Linked DNA regions of Oryctolagus cuniculus. The protein of the gene in region 1 purifies or fractionates together with the protein of each later gene. This does not show direct contact. Links are inferred from orthologs where the notes say so. Each region holds a gene or a part of one and is shown in the gene's direction. Other genes may lie near its edges. The genes, in order: PBXIP1 and SLC27A1.

Evidence for each region.
Region 2: the proteins of PBXIP1 (region 1) and SLC27A1 purify together in Homo sapiens (co-immunoprecipitation; 3 studies listed by BioGRID and IntAct, with this or other methods). This does not show direct contact. The link is inferred for Oryctolagus cuniculus from reciprocal best matches to the Homo sapiens genes PBXIP1 and SLC27A1.

Annotation. Positions count from the first base shown.
Region 1 is NC_091438.1:43,542,485-43,552,288, forward strand, and holds the start of PBXIP1 (pre-B-cell leukemia transcription factor-interacting protein 1), read left to right. Parts: upstream 1-5,243; 5' UTR 5,244-5,701; coding exon 5,702-5,804; intron 5,805-6,223; coding exon 6,224-6,273; intron 6,274-6,858; coding exon 6,859-6,963; intron 6,964-9,804. Other genes in the region: SHC1 (SHC-transforming protein 1), read left to right, coding at 1-44, 273-326, 517-568, 756-882, 1,698-1,896, 1,973-2,042, 2,147-2,281, 2,445-2,683 and 1 more. UniProt on the Homo sapiens protein: Regulator of pre-B-cell leukemia transcription factors (BPXs) function. Inhibits the binding of PBX1-HOX complex to DNA and blocks the transcriptional activity of E2A-PBX1.
Region 2 is NC_091447.1:65,338,357-65,348,160, forward strand, and holds the start of SLC27A1 (long-chain fatty acid transport protein 1), read left to right. Parts: upstream 1-4,806; 5' UTR 4,807-4,939; intron 4,940-5,703; 5' UTR 5,704-5,704; coding exon 5,705-5,871; intron 5,872-9,804. Other genes in the region: TMEM221 (transmembrane protein 221), read right to left, coding at 1-396, 837-922, 1,452-1,756; NXNL1 (nucleoredoxin-like protein 1), read right to left, coding at 2,788-3,100, 3,745-4,092, 4,214-4,272. UniProt on the Homo sapiens protein: Mediates the import of long-chain fatty acids (LCFA) into the cell by facilitating their transport at the plasma membrane.

The DNA of each region.
Region 1 (9,804 bases):
TCTCCACCAGCAGCCTCAACCTCATGGCCGCAGACTGTAAACAGGTTGGTGGGGTTAGGTAGGGGGTACCAGAGACATGGGAGGTAGGGCTAGGGGCAGATGTAGTTGTGAGGCCAAAAACTAAGGTGGAGGGCTTTGGAGTAGCCAGAAGGTAGGAAGAAGTTAGGGTGAGAAGCTAAGAGAATGAGGCTGGGACGGCAGGGTTCTGGGCCAGGGGTGGGGGCTGACACATGCCATTCTTTTCCTTTTCCATCCCCCGTGCCAATTCTCAGATCATTGCCAACCACCACATGCAGTCTATCTCATTTGCGTCCGGCGGAGATCCGGTGAGTTGGGGAACAGAGCACAGGTTGGGGGGGGGGAGGGGAAGGGGCTAAGGATTGGGAAGCCATCAGCCAGGGCAGTGGGGGAGGTAGGGTTGCAGAGGTATTTGAAAAAGACTGGGTTTAGGCATCAGGAGTAAGGTGGAGCTGTAGAATTTAGCTAACCTGCCCCTTCTCACTCTGTCTGTCTTAGGACACAGCCGAGTATGTTGCCTACGTTGCCAAAGACCCCGTGAATCAGAGAGGTGAGGCATGGTGGGGCGCACTGGGTGGGGCGGGATGGCGGTGCGGCAGGTGAGGGGGACCAGGGCCGCCCTTCCCCTCTCACCGAGCAGAGATGAGGAGGGGCTTCTGCTGAGGAGGATCAGTCCCCCACACCCCCGCCCGAGACCCCGCCTCAGAGCTCACCGGCAGCCTTCGCTGTACCTGCAGCCTGCCACATCCTGGAGTGTCCCGAAGGGCTTGCCCAGGATGTCATCAGCACCATTGGCCAGGCCTTCGAGTTACGCTTCAAACAATACCTCAGGAACCCACCCAAGCTGGTCACCCCCCATGACAGGTGAGCACGGTGGGGTGTGGGCCAGCTGTTGGGCCCCAGACCCAGATTGGGAATGCAGGTCTACTCTTCCCACGCCAGAGCTCGGGGAGGTTCAGGGAAAGAAATAACCTGTGTGCCCTGCTTCCTACTTCCTGCGATTCTTGGGTTTCCGGTGGCCATTAGGCCGCCTGCTGCAGGGCCAGCTCTTCCTCTCGCTTGCCTGTGGTGGGGCTGTATTTCAGGGCCTCCAAACTGCATTTCTTTCTCTGGCTGAATGAGCTTTTCTCTTCCCAGCCGCCACCTCATTACTAGCCTCGCCCTCTTTCTTGCCTATTTCTCTTTCATTTTCTGTGTTTTCCTATTTCTAGAAGCCACCAGGCTCGTGGATCTTGGAGGAAGGCTGTTTGTCCTGAGACCCCTTCCTTTCCCACTGTAGGCTTTAAGGAATGAGCAGTGGGCCAGTAGGGATGGTGTATTTGGAAGTTCAAGTCCTCCGGCACATGCCCTCCCCACTATTTCGTGCTTCCCCTTCCTCTCAGGAAATAGCCTGGTGGTCAAGGGCATGAGCTGTAAAGTCAAAGCTGAGTTTAAATCTTGCCTATAGCACCTTTTAGTTGGGAGATCTTGGATAAATCTTTTCACCTCTCACCTTAATTTTCCTCCTCTATAAAACTAGGGAGGGAAACCAGGAGGGTGAAATGACTGTACCTGGGAAACACCCAGCCTCAGGCCTGCGGACTGAAGGCTCGCTGTGTGTGTGATGTGCTGTGGGGTTCCCCTCGCCCTGCCCGGCTCTCCTGCGTACTCACACTCCTGTGCCTTCCTGTCCCTCCCAGAATGGCCGGCTTTGATGGATCAGCTTGGGATGAGGAGGAGGAAGAGCTACCCGACCATCAGTACTATAATGACTTCCCGGGGAAGGAACCCCCTTTGGGGGGCGTGGTGGACATGAGGCTCCGGGAAGGAGCTGCCCCAGGGACTGTTCGACCTGCTCCACCCAGTGCGCAGACCCCCAGCCACTTGGGAGCTACCCTGGTAAGTTGCTAGGATGGAGGTGGGCTGGGCCCAGGCTGGTTAGGACTGCTGGTCTCACCTTCCTTTATCCCTGCAGCCCGTAGGGCAGCCTGTGGGAGGAGACCCGGAAGTCCGCAAACAGATGCCACCTCAACCACCTTGCCCGGGTATGAAGGGAGGCAGAGAGAGAGGGAGCGAGTGAGCTGAGGAGGGAAGAGCCGGGGGTGCAGCAGGCAGGGCCAGGAGCACCACGGAGCATCCTTTTCCGCAGCAGGCAGAGAGCTCTTTGATGATCCCTCCTACGTCAACGTCCAAAACCTAGACAAGGCCCGGCAGGCAGGGGGAGGGGCTGGGCCCCCCAACGCGACCGCCAATGGCAGCGCACCCCGGGACCTCTTTGACATGAGTGAGTACTCCTCTCTCCTTTCTGCTTCGTCCCCGCCTTCCCACCTGGTTCCGTCTCTTCTGCCTTTCTGCTCTTTCATTCCTGGCCTCCCTTCCCTGAAGGTCTCCGTCCCGGGAGTGTGTTGTGCCAGCTGCTGCTCCTTGCTCTCTCTGTAACCCCCCAGAGCCCTTTGAAGATGCGCTTCGGGTACCTGCACCTCCCCAGTCGGTGTCCATGGCTGAGCAGCTCCAAAGGGAGCCCTGGTTCCATGGGAAGCTGAGCCGGCGGGAGGCTGAGGCGCTGCTGCAGCTCAACGGGGACTTCCTGGTGCGGGAGAGCACGACCACACCTGGCCAGTACGTGCTCACCGGCCTGCAGAGCGGGCAGCCCAAGCACCTGCTCCTGGTGGACCCCGAGGGTGTGGTGAGTGACAGAGGTGTGGACGTGGGTGGTCGGAAGTACCCTCTGGTGCAGTCGCAGCTGTCGGCCCCGCCCTCCAGCGCCCTCAGCGCTGTGCCTGAGCTGTGTTCATTACAGCCCTGGCCGGTACTCCAATCCCCAAACCTTAAGCCCCTCAGAGCCAGACGGTGCTCGTCTATTCTGTGTCCCTCCTTTGACAGATGAGGAAACCCCCGGGGAGAGGTTGTGATAGCCAGTGGTGAGGAGCCACACACGTGCAGGAGGAGCCGGGGGCCTCCCCAGGTCCCCAGACCAGTGTCCTTTCTCTTAACACTCAGTGTCTCACTGCTCCTCAAAACTTCCATTTCTCTTCTGTACAATTTCAGCCTCCTTCCCACTTTTTTTTTTTTTTTTTTTTTTTTGCACAGTGAGATACGCCAACCCTGTCCAAATCAAGAAAGGCTTCATGCTTTCTGGACTGAGGTCCCCTTGCCTTTCTGTAGTTCCTTCACCTGCCCACTCTCACAGCTGTCTCCAGCTTCTCTTTCCAGGGAAGCCTCAACCAGCCATCACCCCCCACCCCCAGCCCCACCCCCGTCTTTTTCTCTTTGCTCAGCCTTCTCGACTGTTTCATTTTCTTCAAGACTTAAGGGCCGCCGAGGTCTTGGCTCCTCACCTGAATTGACCCCCCTTCCTTCTCACTTTCCCAGGTTCGGACAAAGGATCACCGCTTTGAGAGTGTCAGCCACCTCATCAGCTACCACATGGACAATCACTTGCCCATCATCTCTGCGGGCAGCGAACTGTGTCTCCAGCAACCTGTGGAGCGGAAACTGTGATCCGTCCCCGCGTCCCCGAGCTCTCACAGAAGACGCCCCTGCCTCCCCTTCCACCCTGTTCCCTGCTCTCAGGACTTCACTCAACGAGTGTTCTGTGGGCTTGGCCTTGGGTCAGAGCTGGGAGGAGGGTGGACACTGGGTTTTGCATTCAGCTGAGGGAGAGGGTTTGAGTCAGGAGCCTGGGGTAGAATCCTGCTTCTCCCCAAACCTCACCAAAGTATTAATGTACAGAGTGGCCCCCCCATACCTGTGCCAACCTGATGCCCCCTTCCCCAGGAAGGTGGGCACTCGAGATGGAAACGTCCCCTGGTGATAGGCCCAGTGGAGCAGTCACCCTTCTGGGGAAAGGGGAACAAATCACACCTCGGGTCTACCCCTGGGCTTCAGGGAGTCACAGACCACTCTCAGCCTTCCCCCCAGCGTTTAACTTTGTGCCTTTGACCATCTCCTAGGTCTGACGATATTTAATGCAAAGAAGTTTTCGGGCCCCTGAGTTAAGGACAGGGGTGCTGACGCCGTCTTGGCTCCCAGGACCCTGTCCTCCTTGCTCAGCAGCCTCTCCAGTTTGGGTTGGGAGAACAGAAGCAGTAGTGGCAGCTGTCCCCTCTCCCTGGGGAGGTGCAACCCTTAGAGATTGCCCCAGAGCCCCCCTCCCGGCCAGGGGGGAGATGGACCCCCTCCCTTGCTCAGTGCCTCCTGGCCGGGACCCCTCTCCCCAAGGGGTCTGTATATACATTTCATACGCCCCGCCCCTCCCATGTTGCATGCATGTTATACTCTACAGCCAAAGTGTAGCTCTTCCTCCTGTATCCCGGCTCTGCCTCTCCCTTCCCAGGGTGTGAACTGGAGCCTCCTGTACAGTTCACTCTCCCAGGAGGGTTCTGTGGAGGCGGGAACAAGGGCACTGAGACTCGAAAGCATTAGACAATCCCAAATACCATCTGTCGATTTGGAACCGCGCTCATTTTTACTTTGTATGCACATATTTTATGGCTGTAGGTTTACTTTCCTAATTTTGTTCTCCATGGCTTGTTCTTGAACACAAAATGATGATGATCAACTACATCCACACATCACCTCTTTGACTTTTCCAAGCCCTCTCACCACTATTGGCATTTTCCTCACCGGGCCTGCAAAGGAACTCGGACTGGCAGCATTATTATTATTTTTACAAAAGAGACCAGAGGCAGAAACGGATTTTGAGCCAGGACTAGAACTTGGACCTCTTACCGCAGGCTGGGAGGCAGGCGTTTGGCTGGCTGTGTCGATTTCACGAAGGGGGAACTTAAAGCCCACAGGTCCCCCAGTACCTTCTACACGCGGGGCCCTGTGCTAGGCCCACTGCAGCCACAACCACAGAAGAGGCCAGTCCTGCTCTTTAGGCCTGTGGGGAAGGGAAAGCTGACAATTTTAATCCTAGCCACCACCTCCTTTCGTGTGTTTGGATGTTTTCACGGGTCTCACTTATACCAAAGGGAAATAATCTTCATTAAAATCCGTATTTCTTCTACTTCGCCTTCTTAGCCACTCTTGCAAGCCCATTGTTCGCGCGGAGCCTCCGCGGCAGGAGGGGAGGCTCCAGGTCGCCGCTGGCCCCACCTGGCCTCACTTGGGGCCCGGCGCCGCCCGCTGGGCCCTGGGCGCCGGCCGACTTAGTGCCCGGTGGGCGTGGAGACCGATTGTCCCCGGGGGATGCGGCTGCGGAGGGGCCTGGTGCAGGCGGGGCGGGGCGGGGCAGGGTCCGAGGCCAGCCGGCGGCTGCCGGTGCCTCCTGGGCACGCGCCCCTCGGCCCGCAATGGTACGGTCCGGTCGCAGGGGCTGGCGGGCGGCGTCCCGCGGTGAGCTGGGGCCGGCCGCTCCCTAGAGGGCGACGGCTGTCTCCACTAGGGCCGCCCCGTGGTCCTCTCTCCCCTCTTCCTGCGTTTTGAGGCGCCGAGTCTCCCAGTCCTTGCTTCCCCTCCCCGCCGCGCTCGGTGGTGGCGGCCGAGCGGAGTTCCGGTTCCGGTCGCTGCTGCTGCCGCGGGCGGGCGGCGAGTCTGGAGCGGGCTCGCAGTTCGTGCTCCAGCTCGGCGCCTCCCCCTCGCCGCACCTTGGGGCTGCAGCAGCTCGGGGGCCTGTGCTGCCCCGACTCCCCTTCCGGGGGATGGTGCAGCCTGAGGGCGCCTCCATCCCCCGCCGCCGCTGATCCCCGGCCCCCACTCCATGGCCGCCTCGGCGCCGCCCCCACCGGACAAGCTGGAGGGAGGTGGCGGCCCCGCACCGCCCCCTGCGCCGCCCAGCACCGGGAGGAAGCAGGGCAAGGCCGGTGAGAGTGCTGAGACGGGGCGGGGGCTGGAGAGACCTGGGACTTGGGAACCTTGGAGGGGAGGGTGGGGTTGGTCCCAAAGGCTGAGAGCGGGGAGGGCTTGAAGGGACGCTCAGGTGAAAAGGATGGGTCGGTGTAGCGCTCCGGGGTTGGGGGCAGGTGTGACAGATTGAGGACTTTCAAGGGTGTGGAGCCACGTGGAATCCAGTCAGGTGGAGTCTGATAGTGTCAACAGATAGGGTGTCTGCTTTCGAGAAAGGCATAGCTGACAGTAGGGCCCCACTCAGGACACGTTTTTCATATGACACTCCTTTGTTAGTATTCGCGAAATAAATGTGTGTTGAAGTTGACCGAGTTCTTGGAGCAGGGCTGGGAGGAGGAGGTTGGAGAAACTCGTCTGCCTTTTGCTGCTCTTCCAGGTCTGCAAATGAAGAGCCCAGAAAAGAAACGCAGGAAGTCCAATACTCAGGTGAATGTTGGCTGGTGGTGGGCGTGATTGCCAGGAGCCCCTGGCGCTGTCCGCTCTGTATTGCGTCAGGTGCAGGGAGAAGGAAGGCGGTGGGTTCTGTTTCTGGTCCTCGCCCTCAACTTCCTAACAAACGTAGGGGATAATCCTTCCCCACGAGAGCCCCTTACCCAAGAGCTGGTCGGGCAGGGTTGCAGCCTTCTTTTTCCCCCATTTTTCCTGTCCTGGCTCCTTCAAGACAGCGTAGCAGGTAACCACCTAGCGAACCTTTTCTAAGTGCCAGACGTTGTGCCGAGGGGCCTGAATGGTTTGGGGGAGCTGGGCACTGTCCTTGTATCACGGAGAGCTTTGGGGTCAGAGCTGGGACTTCAGCGTGGTCCTCCCTGTTTTTCAAAGGCGTTCCTGACTGCGCTGTTCTGCCCTGCTCCCTCTGTTTCTATGTTGCATTCTGAGGTCCGTCTTGGTCTTGGCACTGGCTGGCCGGTGTCTGCCTCCAGAACGCTGCGGCGTCTGTGGTGTTCTGCCCACGTGTGTTTGGCTCCGTGTCAGGCCCCTGTGACCCTCTTTCCCTCATCTGTTCCTCCCTAGGGCCCTGCATACTCACATCTGACGGAGTTTGCGCCACCCCCAACTCCCATGGTGGATCACCTGGTTGCATCCAACCCTTTTGAGGATGACTTCGGGGCCCCTAAGGTGGGGGCCACAGCCCCTCCGTTCCTTGGCAGTCCTGTGCCCTTTGGAGGCTTCCGCGTACAGGGGGCCATGGCGGGCCAGGTACCCCCAGGCTACGGCACTGGAGGTGGAGGGGGTCCCCAGCCACTTCGGCGACAGCCTCCCCCTTTCCCTCCCAACCCTATGGGCCCTGCTTTCAACATGCCCCCCCAGGGCCCTGGTTACCCACCACCAGGCAACATGAACTTTCCCAGCCAACCCTTCAGCCAGCCTCTGGGTCAAAACTTCAGCCCTCCTGGTGGGCAGATGATGCCAGGCCCCGTGGGGGGATTTGGCCCCATGATCTCGCCCACCATGGGACAGCCTCCCAGAGGGGAGCTGGGTCCTCCTTCCCTCCCGCAACGCTTTGCCCAGCCAGGGGCGCCTTTTGGCCCTTCTCCGCTCCAGAGACCAGGTCAGGGACTCCCTAGCCTGCCCCCCAACACAAGTCCCTTCCCTGGCCCGGACCCTGGTTTTCCTGGATCTGGTGGTGAGGACGGGGGGAAGCCCTTGAATCCACCTGCTCCCACTGCTTTTCCCCAGGAGCCCCACTCGGGCTCCCCTGCTGCTGCTGTCAACGGGAATCAGCCCAGCTTCCCACCAAACAGCAGCGGCCGGGGTGGGGGTACTCCAGATGCTAACAGCCTGGCACCCCCTGGCAAGGCAGGTGGGGGCTCAGGGCCCCAGCCTGCCCCAGGCCTGGTATACCCGTGTGGTGCCTGTCGGAGCGAGGTGAACGACGACCAAGATGCCATTCTGTGTGAGGCGTCCTGCCAGAAGTGGTTCCACCGCGAGTGCACGGGCATGACTGAGAGCGCCTACGGGCTGCTGACCACTGAGGCCTCTGCCGTCTGGGCCTGCGATCTCTGCCTCAAGACCAAGGAGATCCAGTCTGTCTACATCCGCGAGGGCATGGGGCAGCTGGTGGCTGCTAACGATGGGTGACTGCCCGGTGGTCTGGGGAAGTGCACACGTCCCTCCCTGCTCTTCCAGGGTGATTGTTTCGTGTCTGGCTCTTGGTCCTTGTTTCCGCTGGTTTCCCATCCCCGTGGAGCAGAAGCAGTGGCTCCTGGGAGCAGAAAAGGAACTGAGGTGGGCAGGCGGAAGAGCCGGCGCGTGTCTCTGGAAACTCACGTGCGTTGAGATCTGTTTGCAGAGATCCAGGAAACCAAAGTCCTGCTGAGCAGAGCTGTGTGTTTTGGTGGCCATCTGGAAGTCTAGGAGCGTGGCTGCAAGAAAAGAAGTGGACGGAGGCAGACCCCAAGGACCGGGGTGTCCGCCGGCGGAGACGGATGCCCTGGACACCCCTCTCTAGGCCCGCAGCTCCAGCCTTAGCTTTTGGGGTCAGAGTGTTTGAGAGGTCTGGCCCCATCCCTGCAGTAGCCTTTTTGTGGGCTCTGGGAGACAGCTTTGAGGAATACGTGGAGAGTTCTCCCTCACCTTCCTCTCCCCTCCCCTCCCCTCCCCTCCCCTCCCCTCCCCTCCCCTCCCCTCCCCTCCCCTTCCCTTCCCCTCACCCCAAGACCCACCCAACTCCTCCCCCTTCAGAGAACCAAATAGCTGGATGGAGTAGGAGGGCTCCAGGCTGTGGCTGTCTTTGGTGACTCTTTGGGCTTCGAGACAGTGGGCCGGAGAGGCTGTCGGGAACATTTTCCTGATACCAAAGTCACTGGGCCTTTCTCAGCCTCTCGTGCTTTTCTCCTAATGGCCATATTTTTTGCCAAAAACGAGGTTCCGTGGTCTGAGCGACCAGAACATTAGACGTCTAGGCTGTCCTGAAGTCTGCACTCGGGTGGCTCGCCCCACCCCCCACCTTGTCCATCTGTTGCACATTATACTCAGCGCTGATCTGAAACTTTGCCCCGCGCTTGCTTCCCTGCCTCCCTGGCTTGATTGGAGGAGGGCTGGAGAAGGCAGAGCCCTTATACCTCATTTTCCCTCCTGATAAAGGATCCAAGAGAGGCCCTGTCATGGCCCTGTGGGTAGGGGGAGGCCCTGGGATCCTCACTGCCATGGTACTAAAAGGTAGAAGAGCCTGGATTGTTTTGCTGCTTTTTCCTTGCTGTTCTTTCTTACCATCTTGGGCCCTCTCAGCCAGCGCTGCACTGGTGTTTTTTTTTTTTTTTTTTTTTTTTTTTTTTTTTTTTTTTGTGAGCACTGCCAGTCAGAGGTGGGACTTGGGCCTATTCAGGAGCCCCTGACAGCTGCCCTTTCTTCCTTGCAGCTGGTACACACATTCCTCAAAGGGGCGGGGGAGGCAGGCACAGGGTGTGGTGGCAAAGGCCTGCCCTCTGTGGTGTGTGCCCCCCACCCCTGGCACTGCCCTGATGGAACCAGCAGACTGAGGCTGTGAGAAAGAAGAGGGGGCTCCGGGCTGCTCTGGCATTGTGGCACTCACCCCCCACCCTTCTGCACTGAGACAGCATCGGTGGCACCTCCCTACCACTCAGCTTGGTATTGTGTTTGTGGTTCTGTCTGCCCCTCTTTGTTGCTACCCATGACGCCTACATGTTTTGTAAGTGGCTCCTGGGAGAGCTGTCTTTCATCTGCCCTCTCCACTGCTTTTTCGAAGTGGGGTGGCAGAGGTGTGGTTGTGTGTGGGGGGGTCTTTTGTATGGTTGGATTAATAAAATGACTTGAAAAGCCAGACCAGGACTCCTTGCTATTGATGTGGAAAAAGGCTGGTGGCACCACTGTCACAGCCAGGAGGGAAGGGGCGCTTGGGAGGTGAGGATAAGTATTTGGCACAGGGCCCCTGGAGGCGGGAGTGGGAAAAAGCCTCAGGCCCCTGGCTGACCCTGGTAGAAGCGGTAGAAGGGGCTG
Region 2 (9,804 bases), on another chromosome or scaffold:
AGAACCTACTGCTGCCCCCGTGGCCCGGCATGCTGCCCATCTCAGAGGCTGCCCTGGCCCAGGGCCCCCCCGTGGCTGAGGGACCCAGGCAGACTGCTCTCCCGGCCTCCCCTGGGGGAAGCAGGGCCCAAGTTTGGGGTGCACAGGGCACTCGGCGGTGGGTACCCTGCCGGGGCTGCGTCCTGGGGCCGGGCTTGGAGGCTTCAGCCGGGCGGGCAGGGTCCTCTTCGAAGGAGGCTGGGCCCGGATCCCGAAGGCCGCGGCGGGCAGCCCGCGAGGCCCGGAGCAGGGTGTGGGTCAGCGCGGCTGCCGGAACCAGGGCCCCCACGCCGAGGACGGAGGCGGTGGCCACGCCTGTCTCGATCTCGAAAAGCAGCAGTGCATAGATGGACAGCGCTGGGAGAGGAGATGGTTGTCACTTGTTCAGTCAACAAGCAGCTGCCATTGATTCAATCAACAAATGTGTTTTCGATGCCATGCCATGGCGGAGCGTGGCCTGAACCCCAAGGGGCTGAGTCTGGAGGCTGCTCTCAGGGCCGCTGGGTGCTGTCCTCAGGGGACAGCCAGCAGGGACCCAGCCGCAGAGGAGGCCTGGAGAGGGGAGCCCAGGAGCCCGCGGGCACAGCCCGTGCAAAGGTCCTGGGGTGGGAGCCGGGAGGGCGTGGCTAAGGGAGGCGGGGCCTGGAGCCACTCGCTCATGCGGGACCTGCCTGCCCGGGCCCAGGGTGGCCCTGCCCCGGGCTCCGGCGGCCTGGGCGGACGCACAGCCTCCCCCGGCCTCAGTGTGCCATCTCAGGGTCCTGCCCCTGGCCCCGCCCCGGCCGCGCGCCACGCACCTGCCAGGTAGACGGAGACCCCGCAGCACAGGAGCCCGAGCGCTGCGTGTCGGAGGCCGCGGCAGTCGTACAGGAAGCCGTCGGACCTGGGCCGGGGAGGACCCGGATGTCAGCCGGGCATCCAGTCCCCTCTGAACCCCCAGCCTGCGCCTGCCGCAGGGCCTTTGCACTGCCACTCCCACCTCCAGCCGGGCCGTCCCGGCGCCCTGTGCCCTAGGTCTACTCTGCTTCTCCGTTCCCGGCGGCCCCAGGAGCTGAGGGCGGCCAGGGTCCAGCGAGACCCCCGCCCGGCCCCAGCTCAGCCCCCTGCACGCATACCGTGGCCCCTGGAGGGCGGCAGCTTGGTCTGGGCGGGGTCCACGCTAGAGCCCCTGACGCCCCTGAGGACGGGCCGGCAGCCCAGGCCAGGCGCTGGCCAGGATCAAGTTCAAGTCCGGTCTCGCCCCCTCCCGCTGGGAGAACCCGAGGCCGCGGCCCTGTGTCAGGTGCCAGGGCCAGCGGCCAGCGACACAGGGGCCCGGCGCCGGCAGGCAGGGCTCGCACCCTGCTGCGACTCCACCGACGTGCGGAGGGGCCCCAGCCTCGCCCCTGCGCCCCCCCCGCCCCGCCCCCTACCTGCGGGAGCCGGGCGTCCGGGCCAGCTCGGCGCCCAGGTGCCCGCAGAGCGCGGCCAGCAGCAGGCAGGCGAGGCCGAGCGCCAGGCCCAGCGCGGCCAGCGCCCCGGCCAGCGGCAGCAGCGCGCCCGCCGCGTCCTCGGGCAGCCCGCGGCCGGCGGCCGCCTCGGGGTCCGGCCCCCGCAGCTCGGCGCGCCCCGCCTGCAGCTGGAACAGCAGCTGCGCGCCCAGCGCCGCCAGCACGGCGGCCGGGATGCCCAGCAGGGTCATCGCGGCCAGCACCCGGCCGCCGTACGACCGGGCCATGGCCAGGGATGCCGTCCAGGGGTCCCGGGGTGGGGGGAGATGGGGGCGTCGGCGGGACCCCCAGAGGGCGAGGCTGCGGGGAGTTCTGCGGGCCCTGGGCGGGGTCGAGGGCTGCCGCGGGGTGGGGTAGCGGGTCCAGGGGTCGGGGGTCCGGGGAGCCGGCCTGAGCTCCCTGAAGCCTGGGGGAAGTCCGGTTTCTCCGGTGCCCGCGTAACAGCTCCGGTCGTCGGGGCTGGAGGGGGCGTGGCCCTAGCGGGGGCGTGGTCTTTGGAGGGGCGGTGTGAAGTCTGGGAGGGGCGTGGCCCTGGGGGAGGCGTGCTCTCCAGCCGGGCGGGAGTGAGGTCTGGGAGGGGCGTGACCTTCAGAGGGGCGGGGTTAAGCCTGGGCAGGGGCATGGCCGTTGGCGGGCGTGGTCTTTGGAGGGGCGTGGTTAATTCTGGGAGGGGCATGGCCGGGGCGGAGGCCTGATCTCAGCCAGGCAGAGGTGAGGTCTGGGAGGGGCGTGGCCTTCAGATGGGCGGGGTGAATCCTGGGAGGGGCGTGGCCCGGGCAGGGACATAATCTTCGGAAGGGTGTGTTGAAGCCTGGGTGGAGGCGTGGCCTTTCGCGGGCAGGGTGTGGCCTTGGGCGGGAGGGGCGGAGCCTGGAGTTTGGCCCCAGGACCCCCAGACCTCGCTAAACCTGTGTGGCTCTGAGCACCTGATGTTGACGAAGGGGAACAGAAGCTGAAGGAAACCGAATTTATTAGTAAACGATGTGTTGACTACTTCGAGGGACAGAGGCCCACGCGCGGATGCACCCCGCCCGCAGCTGGGGCCGAGCTACGGGGAAGCCGGGGTCCCCCCCCCCCGGGAACGGCTGGGCCGGGGCGGGGCTCGAACCCAGGGTGCGGGTCTCCGCGCGGGTGCCGCCCGCCTGCTCGCCGGCCGGCGTTGAAATACCACCCGCACGGCCACAGCAGGGACCCGTGGTCGCCGGGGAGCCGGGGCCTCCGCCGTTGCCCACCCCCCACGCCCCCACCCCTGGCGCTTTCAGTCCAGCCCCCAGGCCGCGCCCCCCGCGCCCCCCGCGCCCGCCGCGCCCTCCGCGCCCCGCCGCGGCCGCTCCACGCGGTACTTGCAGCGGCGCAGGGGCTCGGTGAGGCTCCGCGGCGCGGGGTCGTCCAGGTCCTCGGGCGGCAGGAAGCTGCGGTCCAGCACCTCGGACGCCTCCTGCCAGTTGGCGAAGCAGGCGGGGCCCAGGCGCTGGATCTCGGCGGCCGCGTCCCGCGTGAGCACGTCCCCACCCGGCTTCAGCACCACGACGGCCGGCAGGCGCTCCACGCAGAACTGGCGCCCCAGCTCCCTGTGGGGCGGGCGCGGCTCAGTGCAGGCCCCGGGGCGGAGTGCCCGCAGCCCGCTCCCTGCACCTTGCCGAGCGCCTGCTGTGTGCACTGCAGGTCCTGTTCTGGGACACCCAGGGCGGGCTCTCGCCACAGGGCCCTTGCACCTGCTCTGCACGGACAGCTGTGCTCAGGAGCCGGCGTGGGGCCCAGCGGTTCCGTGGGGGCATCCCGCGTGGTGAGAGGCCCGGCTCCCCGACAACGCAGACTGCAGGAGGCAGCAATGGCGGCCCAAGTGCTGGGGACCCTGCCACCCATGGGGGAGACCCGGATGGAGCTCCAGCCTCTGTGCTTAGGCTAGGGGGGGCGGCCAAAGTAGGGCGGGGCCACAACGGCCGGAGCTGAGCTGATCCAAAGCCAGGAGCCAGGAGCTCCATCCAGGTCTCCCACGCGGGTTCGGGGGCCCAACGACTTGGGCCATCTCCCACTGCTTTCCCAGACCACAGCAGGGAGCTGGACTGGAAGTGGAGCAGCCGGGACTCGAACCAGGGTCCCTATGGGATGCCGGCACCGCAGGCCACCGCTTCGGCCCTGATAAATATATCTTTTTAAAGATGATTCCTCTCCCAGGAGAGGGCCCCTCCTCCAGGCAGCCCGCCGGGCTCACCTCCGCCAGGCGTCCTCGAAGGGCAGGAAGAGCCACTTCTCGGGCATGTCCCTGAGGAACTGGCCCTGCTGCTCCTCCGTGCGGTCCTGGGACACGTACACCAGCGCCAGCTGCGCCGCCCGCAGCACGTAGAACTCGTCGGTGAGCCGCACGAAGAAGTCCTTGAGCACGGGCGCGAAGGCCTGGCAGCGCGGGCAGGCGGCCGCGCCGAAGAACAGCAGCAGCAGCCGGTTGTCCAGCCGGCGGCTGAGCTCCGCGTCCGTCTCCAGCTCGTCCTGCTCACTGTTGTTCCGGATCAGGACGCGGCCGGAGAACAGGGCGGCCATGGCCGGCTCCGGGTGTCCGGGGCTGGGGAAGCGGGGCCTTTAGGACGGCGGCTTAAGGTCCGCGCTAATCAGCCTAAGGCTGCAGGGCAGCCAAGGTCAAGGCGGGGAGAGGGCAGTGCGGGGGGGGGGGGGCGCTGCGCTACCTGCAGCGCCAGCTTCCCATAGGGGCGCGAGTTCGAGTCCCGGCTGCTCCACTTCCCATCCAGCTCTCCACTGTGGCCTAGGAAAGCAGTAGAAGATGGCCGAGTCCTTGGGCCCCTGCACCTGCGTGGGAGACCCGGATGGAGCTCCTGGCTCCTGGTCTTAGATTGGCCCAGCTCTGACCGTTGTGGCCATCTGGGGAGTGAACCAGTGGATGGAAGACCTCGCTCTCTCTCTCTCTTTCAAATCAATCAATAAATCTTTTTTTTTTTTTTTTAAAGGGTAACATCTCCAGCATCAGTCGCTCAGGTTTGAGTGAACAAATGAACCTCAGCTCCGTCCCGCACCTTGCCCTGTATAGCGCGCTGGTTGCGGCCGGGTGGCCTCTCTGCCCGGCCCGGCCGGCCCGGCGGATCCCGGCCAGCGGCCGGCAGGTGCCCGCCCTCGGGGTCTCCCTCCCCGCCCGCCGCCCCAGCAGGCCTGGGCCCGGGCCCGGGAGGGCGGGCGCTGAGCGCTGGCCGGGCCCTGGGCTCCGAGTGGCGCTGGAAGCCGGCCCTGGTCGCCGCCCAGCACAGCGCCGAGGTCGGCCAAGCAGGGCAGGAGACGAGCCAGCGGGCGGGCGGGACCGGGCGCGGCGCGGTGAGAGGGGTCCACAGAAACGCACGCCCCCGGAGACTCGCAGGAGCTCCAGGAGCCCCGGACAGGGCTGCGCCTGCGGGCAGCTGCAGGTCAGCCGGGCCTGGGCTCTGGGGCCGGGGCCGGGGGCTCCGGGCAGGTGCCGGTCAGCGGGGTGGGGGCCCGGCCGGTCCTGGGCTCTGGGGGCGGGGCCGGGGGCTCCGGGCAGGTGCATCTAGGACGCGCGGATCCCACGTCTGAGCCTGCGCAGGCCGCGCTCTGGCGCTTTCTGGGGCCCTGAGGGCTCGCGCTTCGGACTCCCCGCGGCCCCTCCGGGCGCACGCCCTGAACCGCAGGGCGGCGACCGGCTTAACCAGGCTCTAGAGGTGACCCGGGCCCTCCCGGCCCCCGGGCCGCGGCTCGCGGACGCCACCCGGAGCTCGGCCCGCCGCCCCTGGAGCCACGCCCCCGTCGGAGGAGGGCGGGGCGGGTAGGCGTTGCTATGGGGACAACGCCGGTCTCACAGCCCCGCCCGGCGGGCCGCTCTAGGCCGCGCGTCTCGTTGGCGTCGGCTCTCTGGCCCGCGGTTTCTCTATGGGCGCTGGAGCCAGACAGCGGGGAAGAGGGCGAAACAACCAGGCCGCACCCGGGCGCGAGGCTGCAGGGGGCCCGGCTCGGGGGCGGGGTCTAGCTCGGCGTGGGCGGAGTCTGGCTCCGGGAGGGCGGGGTCCCCGATGAGTGGCAGCTGCTGAGAGGTAGAGGCGGGGTCTAGCTCGGCGTGGGCGGGGCCGGCCCTGGGGGCGGAGCTCGGCCGCGGCCGGGCGGAGGTGGGCGGGGCCGGGGCCGCGTCCGCGACCCGAGCTCCTGCGCTTCCCAGGATGCGGGCCCCGGGTGCGGGCGCGGCCTCCGTGGCCTCCTGGGCGCTGCTCTGGCTGCTGGGGCTGCCGTGGACCTGGAGCGCGGCGGCGGCCCTCGGCGTCTACGTGGGCGGCGGCGGCTGGCGCTTCCTCCGGATCGTGTGCAAGACCGCGCGGCGCGACCTTTTGTGAGTGGGGCCCGGGCGGGGGCGGGGTCAGTGGGCGGGGCGGGGCCTGCACGGGTCCGGGCTGGGGGTCGGAGATCTGCACGGGGGCTCGGGGCTCGGAGGCCGAATGCGGGGGTGCCTGAGGTCGGGGGCGGGGTCTGCACGGGCATGGGGGGGCCCTGAGGAGAGGCCGCAGGGGACACCTTGGGGGCTCCTGGAGGGCGAGGGGGAGGTTCCAAGGTGATTGGGGGCCCAGGAGTTGCTTGGGAGACGAGGAGACTGAGAGGGGCCTCCCGGGGTCCCGGGTGGCGTTGACAGGCGTTGACATCACACCGAACCCCCGGGCTGGGGGACTCTCCGTAGGGGCCGTGGTGACTGAGGGGGGCCCAGTGATCTCTGGGCTCGTGGAGGGGCTGGTAGGGGTTGAGGACTTAAGGGTCTTTATCCAGGGTTTCTATCCCTACCGGGCCATTTGCCGGATTTTCAGTGGCCGGGCCGCTTTGTGAGGGTTTGGGGTTTGTCGGGGCCTGGGTGGGGGGCGCCACTCTGAGTTTGCAGCGATCCCGGGCCCCAGGCGTGGCTCAGGGGGGCGGCTTAGACGGCCTGGGGGGTGAAGGTGGAGTTGCTGGGGGCAGAGCTGAGGAACAGGGGCGCCCCTGGCTTGTCCCCGGCTCCTGGGAGGGGGGAGTGCGCCCATTTCAAGGGTGAGGAGACCAAGGCCACGCTGGCCAGCGGGTCTCAGCGCCTCCGCCGCTGCGGAGCAATTCACGGCTGTGAGCAACACCTGTGCCCATTTCACAGATGCGCAAACGGAGGCGCAGTGTGGCCGCGTCGCTTCTCCCAGGACACACAGAGGGAGGCTCTGAACATAGCCACATCTGTGGTCTGTGGTCAGCCTTCGTGTGGACCTGCCCCCCACTCCGCGCAGGGCCTCAGGGCTTGGGGACCTGTCTGTCCCGTGGAAGGCAGCGAGAGAGAGAGAGAGAGAGAGAGAGAGAGAGAGAGAGAGAGAGAGAGAGAGAAGGTCTTCCATCCACTGGTTCACTCCCCAATTGGCTGCAACGGCCGGAGGTGCGCCAGGAGCTCCATCCGAGTCTCCACGCAGGTGCAGGACCCCAGTACAGAGCCAGCGCCGGCCGCCTCCCAGGATGCGCATGCGCAGGGAGCTGGGCCGGAAGCAGAGCGGGGGACTCCAACCTGCTGCACCAACCACGTGCCCCTGCCCCCTCCCCGGTGTGGGCCCCGAGGCTGCGACCTGATCGGTGTTTGTGGCTCCCAGCCGGGACTGGGGGGGCCTCTGAGGGATTCGCACCGCTTCCCTGGGGAGGGCGGCTAACGGGGCCCCACTTTGCAGGTGGGTAAACCGAGGCCCGAGTGGGAGGGGCCACGGTGTTTGCGCTCTGGTGGGCGCCGTCTGAGCGCCGGAGGAGGGGCCGCGTTTGGACCCCAGGTTCGGGAAAGATTCGAGCGCCGGCCCAGTTCTCCTAACCCGCCCTGCCCCGCCTGGCCCAGAGTCCGTGCTCGGTGACCGCTTCCTGCCCCGCAGTCGGGAGGGGAGGGTCGAGGAGGGGCCCCGGGAAGGGCGCGGAGCCACACACTAGGCTCTTTGTGTGCAGGCCGGGGGTGGCCTGGGCCGCGGCCAGCGGGGGCCGCCCGGGCATGCAGCCGGGGCACAGCGGCGGGTGCAGGGCCTGCCCCGGGGGCTGCTCTGGGGGCGAGAGCAGGAGGGGGGGCGAGGGTGTGGGGGACGAGGGCAGGACCGGGGTGGGCGAGGGTGTGGGGGACGAGGGCAGGACCCGGGCAGAGGGTGTCCCGGGGGGCCAGGGTGTCCCGGGAACCACTCCCCCCACTCCTGTCCCCTGTTCTGGACGCTGACACCCACCCGGGCTTCCTCCGGCCTGTCGCCCCCACCACCGCCCTCGCCGCCACCCTCTCGGGCCCCCTCCCGCGGTCCCTGGGGCCCCTGGGCTGAGTTTGCTCACAGGGATGAGTGGGGTACACAGTAGGCGCTCAGACGCGAGGAGCCGATCGCCCTCGGCCGGCCTGGCCCTGCTGGCTTTGGCACTTGGTTAGGGTCCGAGGCTCCATTCCTTCATCCGAGCAGCGCTCCCCGGTGGCGGTGCATGCATTGAGTGCCTGCTGTGTGCGCCGCTGGCTGGCGTCTGGGTGAGGGGCGGCTCCCGCGCGGTTGCTCCTCGAGTTCCTTCCCCTCGCCGAGTCCCGCGTCCTCCGCTGACCGATAGGGGGCGCAAGGCACGGTATTCAGCAAGTGCTCAATAATTGCTGATCACGCTCACCTTGCCACTGCTTATTCCTCAGATGGATGAGCAGGATTTTTATTTTTTGAGATTGATTTATTTACTTGAAAGGCAGAGTTACAGAGAGGTCAGAGGCAGAGAGAGAGGGGGAGAGAGAGAGAGAGAGAGAGAGAGAGAGAGAGAGAAAGGTCTTCCATCCACTGGTTCACTCCCCAGATGGACGCAACGGCAGGAGCTGGGCCAATCCGAAGCCAGGAGCCAGGAGCTCCATCCGGGTCTCCCACGTGGGGGCGGGGACCCAAGCACTTGGGCCATCTTCCGCTGCTTTCCCAGGCCACAGCAGAGAGCTGGGTCAGAAGTGGAGCAGCCGGGACTCGAACCGGCGCCCCTATGCGATGCCGCGGCGACTTTACCCGCTGGGCCGCAGCACCTGAGCTTCCTAAGCACCAGGGTGAAGGCCGGCTGCCTGATTTACGTTTTCTGGAAAGTTCTCCCTCTGGGGGTGCGCAGGCGCCCATGAGCCGCAGGGCACGCACCCGCCGGGCCCCTTCCTTCCTGTTCCCCCATTGCTGGCTCTGGTGCCTCTGCAGAGCGGGGTGGCCCCCCGACCCCGCCCACCGCTGGAGGCCCCGCCCTCTCCACAGAGCAGGCTGGGGGGCGGGGCCAGGACTTCCTCTCCCCGCACCCCTGGTGGGTGGGGCCCTGGTCTGCCGCCGCCACCCCCAGGTTCCCGGCGTCACAGCCACGCGTCCCTGCCCTCCGGGGACAGGCGAGGAGACGGAGCACCAGTCGATTGCACCTGCGGTGGGGAGGCAGGAGGGGGCCAAGGCCTGCGGGGGGGGGGGGGTCGTGCCGATGCTGCAGAGCCCGTGCAAAGGCCCTGGGGTGGGAGCATGGCAGAAACATCAGGGTGGGTGTGGCTGGAGAGATGAGCGGGGAGGAGGAGGGGGAGGGTCTCGCTCTCGCTCCAGCGCTGCGGGGTCTCAGGGAGGCCAGGGACGCCCGGCTCGGGCCCCTTGGCAGACGCAGAGCGTGGGGACCCCGGCCCTGTCCCTGTGTGCAGGGGCTTCCCACGAGAGGCCGAAGAGAGACAGGGGCCCGCGTCCCACGTCACAGCGCCTGCCTCCAGCTCCCTGCGCACGCGCACCCTGGGAGCCGCGGTGAGGGCTCAAGGCTCTGGGCCCCCGCCGCCCACGGGGGAGACCCGGATGGAGCTCCCGCCGCCCCCCAACACCCTGTCTCCCCGGCTGAGCCCCGCGGGCCCTCCACCTCCCCTCCCCGCACCTGATTCCTGCCACACAAGGCGCGTCCCTCCCAGGCCGGAGCCCAGAGCCCCAGGCCCCAGAGTGCAATGGCCGCTTGCATGAATGAATGAAGGGATGAATGAATGAAGTTATGAATGGAGTGGCTGAGTGATGAATGATGCATGAATGAAGGTTTTTTCCCTTCGCCGGGACCGCAGGGTGCTGAGGCCAGGGCTGGGCAGGCCACAGGCGGGGGCTGCGGGAGCCGTGGGGGCGGCGTGGGTCAGGGCGGCGCCCGCTGCTGGTCAAAGACAAGCCCAGGGCGGGGCCGGGCTGAAGCCGGGGGGCCGGGGGCTCCATCCGGGTCTCCCGCGGGGGTGCAGGGGCCTGAGCACCTGGGCCGTCCCTTGCCGCTTCCCAGGCGCATGCGCAGCTGGCATCGCGGGCGGTGG